Linked DNA regions of Drosophila melanogaster. The protein of the gene in region 2 interacts with the protein of the main gene of each other region in a pairwise test. Each region holds a gene or a part of one and is shown on either strand. Other genes may lie near its edges.

What was found.
Region 1: the proteins of CG6254 (region 2) and cona interact in a two-hybrid assay, tested with the Drosophila melanogaster proteins (one large-scale study listed by BioGRID).
Region 3: the proteins of CG6254 (region 2) and spri interact in a two-hybrid assay, tested with the Drosophila melanogaster proteins (one large-scale study listed by BioGRID).

The regions. Positions count from the first base shown.
Region 1 is NT_033777.3:18,384,042-18,387,387, forward strand, and holds cona (corona), read left to right. Parts: upstream 1-1,786; 5' UTR 1,787-1,880; coding exon 1,881-1,985; intron 1,986-2,045; coding exon 2,046-2,345; intron 2,346-2,417; coding exon 2,418-2,593; intron 2,594-2,664; coding exon 2,665-2,707; 3' UTR 2,708-2,846; downstream 2,847-3,346. Other genes in the region: CG14309 (uncharacterized protein), read right to left, coding at 1-179, 268-591, 656-960; Vha100-4 (vacuolar H[+] ATPase 100kD subunit 4), read right to left, coding at 2,906-3,171, 3,228-3,346.
Region 2 is NT_033777.3:10,158,492-10,162,984, reverse strand, and holds CG6254 (uncharacterized protein), read left to right. Parts: upstream 1-1,653; 5' UTR 1,654-1,723; coding exon 1,724-1,903; intron 1,904-1,958; coding exon 1,959-3,176; intron 3,177-3,239; coding exon 3,240-3,589; intron 3,590-3,653; coding exon 3,654-3,810; 3' UTR 3,811-3,841; downstream 3,842-4,493. Other genes in the region: Best1 (bestrophin 1), read left to right, coding at 675-1,000.
Region 3 is NC_004354.4:10,582,328-10,587,029, reverse strand, and holds the start of spri (sprint), read left to right. Parts: upstream 1-1,607; 5' UTR 1,608-2,120; intron 2,121-4,702. UniProt on the Drosophila melanogaster protein: Potential Ras effector protein. May function as a guanine nucleotide exchange (GEF), by exchanging bound GDP for free GTP.

The DNA.
Region 1 (3,346 bases), 8.2 Mb from region 2:
CCATAGTTTGGGCCCACCGCAAGGCATCCGTGGTCTCGTCGCCCACCAATCTCTGCGAGGATCGCTCCTCCGGCAAGGTCAGCCACAAGGGAACGCGCTGTTGCTGAAGGGTTCGCAGGGCAGGATCGCTGTCGTACAAGTAGCTTCCCAGGCTTGATTTGGGCAGCATGTTTGCGGGTCTACAGTTGGAACAAAATAATTATTAAAAGGTAAGATGCTACTTCTATAATGTTCATAAATACATTCACTTCCAATCTCACTACTTACTGCGTCCATCCAAATGCCGTATTCAGATCCTTGGACATATCTACGTATCTCTTGGTCTCATCAGCACTGCTTCCAGCTGAAATGTCCGCTCCCATTAGTCGCCAGTCGTCCACATACGGTTTGAAAGTATCCGTCATCAGTTTGAGAGTTCGAAGTTCCTGGACGTAGTCCTTGGCTCTGGAGGTGCCAAAGTCTGTGCCCAGCTGCCAGATGCAGTCGGTGATGCCAACCATATAGGAGGTGTTCAGGATCTTCAGCGTATGCATGGAGTCCCAATCATCGGGCGCATAAGGCACCGGGATGATCATGGTCCAGTTTACGGCCCTTCGAAAAATAAGGTCAGATAGATGATCAGAAAATGGGAGGAAAGCCATCACCACCAACTTACCGCGACCACCGATTGAACCCCTTCCAAATGATTTTGGTGGGGTTTCGCAGCCTAGTTGGCGCATTGCTGGCGAAGTAAAAATCTCCCACGAACTTGATGTGCGCATCTCCCAGCAGATTCGCCAAATTGGTCACCGCCTTGCGGTTCTTGCCATCCAGGGCATCGTACAGATCCTCCGGACGAACGGCAAAACTGACAAACTTTTCGTTCACATCGTTGTAAGGACGATTCACATGGAGCTGAACCAGTGTATCCGCAAAGCACACTACCGCCAGTCCCAAAAGAGCCAAACACAAATGCCACATGTTTTAATCCAGAATTACGAATGGAAAGACCGGAGACCTGTCTGTTGCTCGATGGCTCCACAACTGACCGGAGTTTCATAATGACTACCTCTAAATAAACTCCCCACTCGATCATTTCCATCTGATTTCGCTGCCATCCGCAAGAATTTTGCGCTGATCGCTGCCCTCAATATGATGACCTTCTTCCAATGCACCACTAACGTAACCCAAACCCACATACAAGTGGGCCGTGGTTGGAATGCCGTGCTTATCAATGAACTATGAGATGACCCAATAAGGTTGGGGTAAATCTGCGGAGGCCAGTTCTTCGGCATCCTCGCTGGCGGTCACGGTTTGTTAGAAGAAAAGAGAAGAGAAACCGTCTCATTTTTTTAAATTAAGAAGGTTTCTCACACAAAGTTTAATGTTACGAACCATTTTGCAAAACAAATCACGTCAAAGCTTTCAGTTATACTCACAAAGTAAAAGGAGGGTATATTAGATTCGCTGAAAAGTGTGAAACATGTAGAAGAATATATTTTTATTATATATATTTATATTTTTGATCAGAGTCACAAGTCCAGAGTCAGAGTCGATCGTCCACAGTTTCTGTGATATACATAAATATATGAACATGAATGTGAATATAATGTATGCCAATTTCAGATATGGAAACTATTAAAGTTATGAAGTATTTGTGTTCTTTGACTAGAACGTAAATATTTCCAATTGGTGTAAATTTAAATAGCGCGCTCATCAACAGATCTATCACCAATAAGTGTGTAGAAAGTTGCTATCGTCATCGACCTATCTGCTGTTTTCCAACACTAAGTTGACCGCCATTTTGTACGTCAAAACAGAAATTTCGCCAAAACTTGAATAGAACGTTGCGACAATTATTATTACAGTTAAACAAATTGTTATCCAAAACTACATGAGCAATGGGTAGTAACCAAGATTGGAACAAGGAAGACTCCAAAACTGAGGTCCCACCTGAGGAAGATGACCAAGTGACAGCATACATTGAGAAATCAGTGGCCCAATTGGTAAGTTAAGAAAGGAAACATTTTTAGTTAAAATTTATATACATTTTGATATTATTGTAGGGCTCCGAAAATGATCACCGTACCGCGCTGGTCGATGAAAAGAAGAAGGAGTTGGATGTCCTGATTGCCGAGAAGTACACCACTTTGAACGACTTAACCCATGTCACCAATTCCCAGAATCTTGTGGACGACATCCACTTTCTGCATACGAAGAACGCCAAGATCCTGGAGAGCCTCAATCAGGCGGTCACCGCCAAGAGAAACGTCTCCCAGGCCTACGATGACCATTGCAAGAAGGCGCTCAAGGTCAAGGCCGAGATGCAGGAGCAGACGAAATGCTTCGATGAGTTCACCGTGATGGTATGTAATCTCCTCAAGAAACCAGTAATCTTGCAGGTTTGTAAAATTCTATCCAAATATTTTCTATTTCAGAACTACCACGATCTAAAGAAGACCATACTTAACACCAAGAAAGAAACGCAAGAAATTCGCGCTAAGACGGCTTTAAAGACCGAGGAGCTCAAAAAGAAGCGAGAATTTGTTAACACCACCCAAAAGTCAATGGCTAATGATATCCGTGTTCTAGGCCAGATCGAACATGACCTCATGTGAGTAACTATTAGGAGTTATAAAAAAACCGTACAAGAACATGTATCCCAAATGTTTGTTTTTTCCACAGTGGGATAATCGAAGACTTAAAATCCAAAATTTCTGCAATTTAAGTACAGGAAAACAAATAACACTTGAACAATCGCCAAAGGTGCATTGGAAAATACGGTCGTACCTCATCTTCCAAAAAATAATCCTTAATATTGCTGCGTTTTCCAAATAATTTGACAAATAAAGTACTTTTTATTCTGTAATGCTTTTTTAATTAAACCTTCTTCAAGGAGCGAATCACGATGGCTATCCTGATGGTTCTAATCATCTTCGACGACGATCAAAATATCCTTAAAGCTGAATGGCGTGAACGGATATCCGTTTCCCACATAGAACTTGCTCATGAACTCCACCCAGTGCAAGCGCAATGTGTGCAGGAAGGCGGAAAGACCCTCCATCATGACCATGATAGCGATGGTGAAAAACTCCCAAACGGCAAAGATGAAAAACAGCCCAATGGCGCCCACGTAGCCGTTCATCTGAAGTCCCATCGCCAGCACCATAGTCCACAGCACCTCCGATAGCTCTGAAATAAGATCTGCATGAAGTACAAATTCAATTACTGACTTAGCAGATTCTTACGGGCATGAGCTAAGGACAAGGCCCAGAGACGAAGATATGAGGCCGTGTGTGAGATGGTACTAAGGATATACTCGATTGTGTGGATGGCCTGGTGGATCCAGATTTCGCTCATCGGCTCG
Region 2 (4,493 bases):
TTGCTCTTCTACGTAATCGTTGCTGATTTCCCTATTACACTCTTATTTTTGTTAAATTTTTTTTTTTTGATTGTCTGCTCTTATTTTATGATTTATTTATAAACGAAAATGTATACAGTTATTTCCGTGTGTACTAAAAAATATTTTTAATTGAAACTTATTTAGTAACAAAAATTAAACTATTACTAATTTTAACAATTTATTTTTGAATATACCCTGCAAAATTAATAATGAAAAAATTGCTAATAAGCTTTTTGTTTTACAGTAACCATTTTTTAATTACTTAATTTAGTTTAGTATTCAACCTAACGAACCCACAAAAAAACCAAAACTTCCCACAATATGTATCTTTTCCAAGCTGTCTTTAAATTTACATTTTTAATTTAGTTTTATATTTGAATTTTAAAACAATTGGCATGTGTTTTTTTGAAAGCGATGCCCACTTGTTGAGTACTTAACCCAGCTTGGCTCTTTTAAATTAAATATTTTGCGCTTTGTTTGACCGCAGAATAGGTTTCTGGCTGGTCAAGTAGGTAGCCATGAACCCGTAACCTCAACTTCATATTGGTACCCGCCTAGCATTAGTCCTAGCCATTTCGTAGACGTTGCACGTTGCGTATGATGAATTTAACCATGGCATATACTTTACTGACACTTACCATCTATGTTTCCAGTGGAGAGCATGGACCTGAGGTCCTCCACGGATCTACTCGGCGATGCGGCAGTGCAGCCCGAAGACGAGGGCGATGACTTCGATAAGCTGAAGGCGGAACGCGAGAAGGAGAAACTGATGCGACAGCAAAAGAATCTGGCCAGAACTATTAGCACCGCTCCGGGAATGGAAGCCACGGCTGTGCCGATGGTGCCAATGGTCCCAGTGAACGTGGCAGTGCAACAGGCACAGCTGCAACCAGTTGCATCCAGTGCCGATCTTCTGGCCGGCGGAGATCAGTTCTCCAATTCGACGATGAAATCGGAGGACGCCATCAACGGCAGTTGAAGGACACCTAGTATTTTGTTTCGTACACTTACCTAGTTTAAGTCTAGTGCATTATTTAGTTCCCTAAGCTGATAAGCTAAATTACCTATACTATATTCTAGACGTATATGCCGCTGACATATACTGGACATACGCAAATTAACGGACAGTTTAAGAATGCTCATAATGTCTAAAACGAGCTCGAGTGATGATGGACCTAATTAACGCAGTTAATAACACAAATACTAATATCTAAGTAGAAAGTTTTTGAATTTTACAAATATAAGTTATTTTGTAAATTGATGACGAATTGTTTTTAATCTTTTAAAAGGGCAGTTTTTGCTTGGCTGTAAAATTGGTACACGTTTTCAAAGAAATGAAATCAAAATTTTTGAGCATACATAATATAACATACAAATAGATCTGTGATTCTTGAAACGGAATCTCAAAAATATTCGTACTTTTAGCTAGAGTAGAGTTTGATATGTTAAACGGATGCTAAAAACATACGAAAAGACTTAAATAAAAATGAAATGCCAAATAAAAAAAGCATACCGTTTTCTTGCCCTTAACCGTTAGTTTTAATAATTGCTCTGTAGTTCCGGAACCTCTAAGTCGTGAACTGTAAACCAATGGAACAGTCCGCAGCTCTGTTTTCTTGTGTAGCTGGCAGCCCTGGTATTTTTGCAAGGCAGGGCTGTTAATCAAAACAAAACGAAAGTATATTTTCGATGTTTTCTGAATATGTCGGATATTCTCGCAGAAACACAAGCCGCGAACAGAGATTCAACAATTTGGCACCAATGGTGTCGCCTGTGCTCCAAGGAGCATCCGACAAATCAAAATGTATTCTTCAGGGAGGCGAAACAAAACTCCTGGGCGAGCACAATGGCCATGACCATTGGCAAGTACTTTTGGGTCGATGTAACTGCTATAAATTTACATATTCCAAATAGAAAACTAAGATCATGCCTTTCAGATCAAAAGGGAGGACGAGCTGAGCAATTTTCTGTGCTCCGAATGCTTCACATTGATGGACTGCCTCATCGAGTTTTCGGAGAGGGTTCGCAAAGTGCAGATCCTTTTCAGCAAATTGCAGTTGTTACAGTCTAATAATTTGATGGATTATGAGAAAATTCGAGAGGACTGCGGTGTGGCAACCGATGGATGGAAGCATATAATGCTCGGAGCCGTAGACGAAAGTCTTCCCCAGAATGACGAAGTATTCATCAGCGAGGAACAACCAATAGTCTGCCAAACAGAAACATCCAGTAAAATGAAAAGTGAAATCCTAATGATACCAAATTTTTTGGTGGAAAAACAATGTCTTCAGGAAAAACAAGACTTTCCTAAAGAGGAAGATGTTATTGAAGAAGAAATGCAAATTTCTGGGGTGGAAGAGGAAATCCTAGAAGAAGATGTGGAAGAAGATCTTGCCGAGGAAGAGGTTGAAACTGTGGAGGAAGAGATTGACACTGTGGGAGAAGAGGTTGAAGCTGTGGAGGAAGAGTTGGAAACCCAAGACGCTACAGATTGCTTAGTGGAGGAAGTGGAGCACATGACAGAGGATCGCTATATCGAGGAGTCGCAGATTATAGAAGAAAGCCAAGTTTCAGATTTCAACATGGAAACATATGAAATAGTACAACACAATCCGCAAAAAGAACCCGTAGAAACAAAAGACACCGTGGAATCTATAGAATCAAACGAGGATACCCAGGAAGATATCTCCCGAGAGCATGTAACCGATGAGGAGGATGAAATATCAGAGGTACCAGCCATGTATAAGTGCAATATTTGCAAAAAGCCGTATAAGAAACCCAAAGCCTACAAGCGTCACATGGAGGAGGTTCACAACACTGTGGCCGATGATCTGCCACAGTTGGAGTGCAATCAGTGCAAACTATGTTTTCCAACAGTCGCCCAACTGCATGCCCACCACCGAACCCATGTACGTGCCAAACCAAAGACAGATAACTGCTGTCCACACTGCGAAAAGCGCTTCACCACCTCGGGAACACTGAAGCGACACATAGAAGGCATCCACAACCAAATAAAGCCCTATGTGTGCGACCTCTGTGGCAAAAGCTTCAATTACATTACTGGACTGAAGGATCACAAACTTGTGCACACAGATGAGTGCCCCTTCGAGTGTCCCGTGTGCAAGCGAGGCTTTAAAAACAATGCGAGGTTAAAGGTAGGTTGTCATGTACTCTTATCCACTACAGTACGATTAACTAGTTACCTAATCTTTTGCCAGATCCATTTAGATACACACAGTGCCGAAATCTACGAGTGCACTGTATGTGGCTTGAAGTTAAAAACCCGACGCACATTCAACAAACACAAATTGGTGCATTCAGATACACGGCAATTTAAGTGTGAAGTCTGCGGATCGGCGTTCAAGCGAAGTAAGACACTGAAGGCACATCTCATCCTTCACACCGGCATCCGGCCATATAAGTGCAATTTTTGCGGAAGAGACTTCGCCAATGGCTCCAACTGTCGATCGCACAAACGGCAGGCACACCCCAAGGAACTGGCCGAAGAGGAAGCTCGCGGAGTGACACGATCCACACTTCTTCCAATGCTGGACGAACTGACAATTGCGTATGTTACAACATTAGAGTGTAATCCAGTAGTTTATTAACTATTCCCTTCTATTTTTAACCAGGTCCAAGCTTTTAAAAACACCCGCAGGTCCTTGCAAAGTAAAGGGTAGTAGGCCAAAAGCTGCGCCCAAAGATCAAGATAATGGCAATGAATCTCCAACGAAGGACACCGATGGTGCCATCCTCTACGAGCTGGTCGAGGAGCTTGATTACTCCTAAGTATTTAAATAAACATTAATAAGATACTCACAAAAAACTTGCGATTACAAGGGTCTCTTGGTTTATTCACATTGCTGGTTTAGGTTCTTAAAATCTAGATTACAAATCGAGAGTTGAGTTTACAATTCTTAAATGCTTCATAGGCAGCAGAAATGGAAAAAACGCATTTAGCTTAGGCAAAATTAATAGAATACATAAATCACAAGGCAATCAACAAATTTCGAAAACCATATTCATAATAAATAACAAAGAATTTAACAACAAGCTAGTGGAACTGCCAGTGCCACCGTACCATAAATGAAATATTTTTCGCAATAGGCTTTGGAATGTACAGATCGATATTCAAGAAGCATAGAACTGCCTTTGGATGATCCACCCGAAAATGATTGGCTTTATATGTGGCCAACATTTTCAAATGCGGTAAATATCCGAGGACACACTTAAAAAAGATCACATTTCGGGATGGACAAAATACAATTACGATTTTATAACTATATGTTTGGTAGGAGTTGTCAATTCGTACGGTTGCGAAGAAATATAAAAGGATTGGGTTAATCTAAGGACAATATTATTTAATTTAAGTATGATTCCATAGTTGCATATTTGAGCATTGTTTAAAACACTTTTCTTTTACGAAATAACCAAAGACTATTAAATGGCAAAGTTTGTGCGAAGTGGATACG
Region 3 (4,702 bases), on a different chromosome or scaffold from region 2:
ACAACACGACAAATGGGGCGGGTATGGGGGTCTGTCAAGAAAACCTGAATTTCGAAATGGAAGGGCTAAAAAAAAGGTGAAAAATCAGAAATCAGAAGCTTCTTTCCAATTCCAGAAGTCAAAACGCTAATCGGTAATCGACAATTGCTTATCGGTCATCGACAGTTTTCGCGTTTTCAAATTGTTTGTGGCTGGCAATACAAGGTGAATTGTAAAAAAAAAAAATTAATAAGTGCGAGCAAAAAATGCGATCACATAGCAAACAAAGCTGCAAATCAAGCGAAACAAACACGTCGCCCTCTTAACAAGATATAACCGGGTTAAGCACAATAATATATCTTTTAATATAAATACTTATTCATATACGATAGTAAAACTGATAAAAGATAATTTTCAAGAGAATCTGTTAAGATTGTGAACCAAAGTCTGTGCATTCAATTTCCAGCTAAAACCAAACAACGAAAGACAAAAAGAACAGATTGCTAATTAAAATTTATGGGTGTCATAATTTTCCGACAATTAAAAGTCTCATTTTACAGCAAGAAATATTGATTTGGTCAGCAGTACCATGTGAAAAAATATTACTGATATATTGCAAAACAACCATTTTAGATTTCCATGTGCCATAGCTTTGGCTTTCAGCTATAACTTGTTTTAAACAATATAAGCTTATTTTGCATTACACGTTTAATTAAATTGGGACAGCATAAATTTTTGATAATTACAAGCACCTTTTCCAAAATCGAAAGTAAATCAGCACCTGCCGTTTAATAATTCACTTTGGTGAGCAATATTTATTTTTTGCCAACTCCGCGCTTTTTTAAAGAAAATTTTGTAACCGTAAAACACCAATATAACAATCCATTGCATTCATAGTAATTTCCATTTTAAAACATTGTTAATTTACGGAAAGAATAGTTTAGGAAACTTTTAATACAGTAAGTTGACTTAGTAGCAGAAGAATAAACTTTAATATTAAATATTTCTTTAACAAAGTTAAAAACTTTGCTATCTTCCTTACAACCTATGTTAACCACAGTGACAACAATGATCTATGAGTAAGCGTAAAGTTTGCTTAATACATTATATTATAGTTTTGATATTATACTTTCATAAATTAGTATGGTTGGGTAAATGGTTGTAATTAATATATTGAAAAATGTAAGATCTTATGACTGACATGTGACCACAATAGAGTTAAGTTTAAGTTCTTTTTTAATATAGTTTAACTATTAAGCTATTACTCCATGGTTTCATATATCTTGTGGAGTAAAGTGCTGTTAACATGTTCTGTAAACATATGATACAACTTTCCTTAACTCTTCGACCATTGTGCTGTTAAGTTAAAAATACCTCTTAATATACTTTTATTATTGATAAATAGTTTAGATTCATATACATATCTTGTGGCGCAAAGAACTTTTAACATTATCCATCAACTGAATGGAGAGTTTTCAGTAGGAGTGTGACCACTGTGCGCCATCGTTTCGCATCTCGTAATTTTGCTTGTGTTGTTGCTGTTGTTGTTGCTGCTGCTATTATCGCAGCGAGTTGTTGCTGCCGGCGACGATCTTCGTTTTGTCGGCGGCTTCAGTTCAGTTCAGTTTAGTTCGAGTTCGCACTCGGCCACAAACGGTCGGTCGGTCGGTCGGTTGTTCGTTCGTTCGTTCGCTGAAGGAGAATTGTGGAGAAGAAATTGAACCCGTAATCTTCGGAATCCGTAAAGCCGTAGTCCCGTAGTCGTAAGGCGATCGCGAGAATTGAAATTGTGCTGCAACTCAAGTAAAATAATATTGTGTCGCACAAGATCACTGCGTGTCGCGCTCAATTAAATACACATCTTTTTTTTTATATTTTTCCCCCGGTCTTTATTTATTTTTTTTTGTTTAATTTTTTTTATTTGCGCTACAACGTTGTTATTTATATTTAATTGTTTTGTAACAACAACAACAACAGCAGCCGAGTTAAGTGCGAAAAGTGAAGTGAAGTTTGTCGGCGAGTGAGTGCGAGTGCGCACAAAAATTGGAGCAGGTTCCAGAGATCTTGAGATCTTCAGAACTAGAGATTCCCAGTTCCTAGGCTCCCGGGTTGCGACTTTTGGCGGCATTGGCGTTCCCCTGGTAATTTAATTGAAAGTGATGATCGTAGCCCATCCATAAAGCCACTTACCGGTAGTTCCCCCATCCTTTCACAAGTTCAAGTTCACCGACCACGCGGACTCCTTTTTTCGCTCTTCCACCCGCTCTCTCTTCTCACTCTATCTCTCTTGATCGCTTGCCCTTCTTTCACTCGAAGAAAATACAGTGCACACTCGAGATGGTGAATTTGGATTGGCCATTAATTGCTCCCAGTTTGGGTTATCATACTAAATCTTTGTACAATATCTTTGGAAAAAGATTAAAACCTAACTTTAAATAAATAGTAATAATTACTGCTGTACAACTATTCTTTTTTTTTTCTGAGTGAAAAGCTCTTTTGTCTTTCTCGCCAAAAGTGCGTTGGATTTCTTTACATTGTGCCTGGTTCTCTTCGGTTTACACACTCGGTACATTGCACCCTTGGTCCCTGTTTCCTTTAGTGTCGTCTTTCGCTTTCAATGCATTTTGACAGTGGATTGCTAATCGGCCAGGTATTCGCAGGCCACCTTATAGCACCTACCATATATACCCATCGTACATCTACATACCATTCATACATACAATCGCATTCGCATTCGTATATTCGCATTCGCATTCCTGTCGCCGTTGTCATTTCCTCACCTCATCGGGCACCGCCCTCTTGCTTTCACGCACCTGATGATAAACGGCTCAAATTTTGATAATGTGTACGGATTGTGCTGCAAATTGCTCAAATGGCTAATCAGCTGTTGCTAGCACATATGTATAACCCCCTATACTCCATATCTTTCCAATGAAATCGGCGGGAAATTGGCTTTGTCTCGAGTCTTATCGCATGCCAAAAAAAAAAAACGAAAAATCAAAAGGCAAAAACCCAAAACTTAAGTCTGAGCTCCAAGTCTAAACCAAAACCGCAACATCATCTCAATATTTCCTTAACCACAAGTGCACAGAGCAAACAAGGTCTACTATTACTATTGACTAATTAGGCATTCTTAAGATATAAAAATATATAAATAGAGCAAAATGGTATAACAATTATAATCTATATTATCTAACATAATATCCAAAACCGTGGTGTGCGTGAAACGTGCCCTAATTTTCGCTCTGTGTGCGTGCATCAGCGGATTGCTGATAAGTGGAGAATGTTTATTGTCATTACCTGTGTCCCACTACCTGTACATTCCCCTACCCTGCGGTACTACCCCTCCGGTCGATATGGTATTCCTCATGCAATTTGCGGTTGTCACAGCTATTAGGTTTAGATAGTCCACTGTAGCGGTCTTATCAATGGGTTGCTTTCGCTGGTCAGTCAGTCAGCCAGGTATCTCTGTACGTACGTATGTTTGCCATGCCAGTATTATGATAGCGATCGTCAGTGGTTTACTTCGCTAATGATCCTCGTCGCTCAGCATGGGAACATCGCATCTGTATATGCCCACTAATCCCACTCGTATATTTTGGCTTTTTTGGCTTATCGCGATGGTCATTTAAATACACGTAGGAATCGTTGCGATCCCATCATATACATACAAACGTATGTGCCCAGATATTTTTGGGATACCATTTCCTTTCTTCGGGCTCTTTCCAGTTAATATCTTTTTAGTAGTTCTTAGAATTAATTTATCATATCATATCACTCACTGAACTAACTAATTTGTCCACTTAATGGATACAACTCATGATTATCAAGTGATCTCTGTGAATACCAATTCATTGACTGATAGATGATCACACTCAAATAAAATCGCTATAATTTCCGATGATTATTGACTATGCTTATAAGTCCTTAGCCCTACTGAATGATCTCAGCTAAATTCCCCACCAAACTTTTCTCACCCACACACGAAATGCCGCAATGTCGAGTTAAAATTATTCGATGGCAAGAAAAAAAAAACAGAGATTAAATAACAAAATACCAAAAAAAAAAAAAATTGCCAAAAAAGTCAGCTTTGACTAATGCGCTGCATTGGCGGTGCGATCATTTTTTGGCGATCACTTTTTAGCACCAGTTGAGCTACCATGTGGGCGCAGCGGCAGCCAAAATAGTTGGCCAAGAGTCTCGAGGTCTGAAAGTCGCACTCTTGTTTTTGTTTCGACTTTGTTTTGCTTTCGGCTATCAACAGCTAACCGCTGCGCCCAACTGTTCCAATAGAAAGCCAGTTAACAGCGATACGCTCCGGTTTTCTGTCTTCTCTCTGTTTTTATTATTGGGAAGGGAGATCGAGATCGTTGGATGGGAATCGATCAGTTGATTCGCGGTTCGTAAGTGTCTAAATATAGATTTCGACCATATTTGCTGGCAAATATTGGCCATGAGTGTGCGGCGGGCTGAACCTGCCTCAATTCAAGTGGCACAGTATCTGTATCTGGGCTCCTATATCTTTATACATATCTTTGTACATATATATGAGTATTTGCGAGTGAGTGCACGTGTTTTTGTGGCAGACGGCAGATCGGGCAACATGTCACCCCACGCGACATGCCACATACTACATACTACATACTACACATGCTACATGCAACATGCCACATTTCTCCATCAGAGTTGTTCGCTTCTTTTCATTTTTCGCGTCGGCATTCCC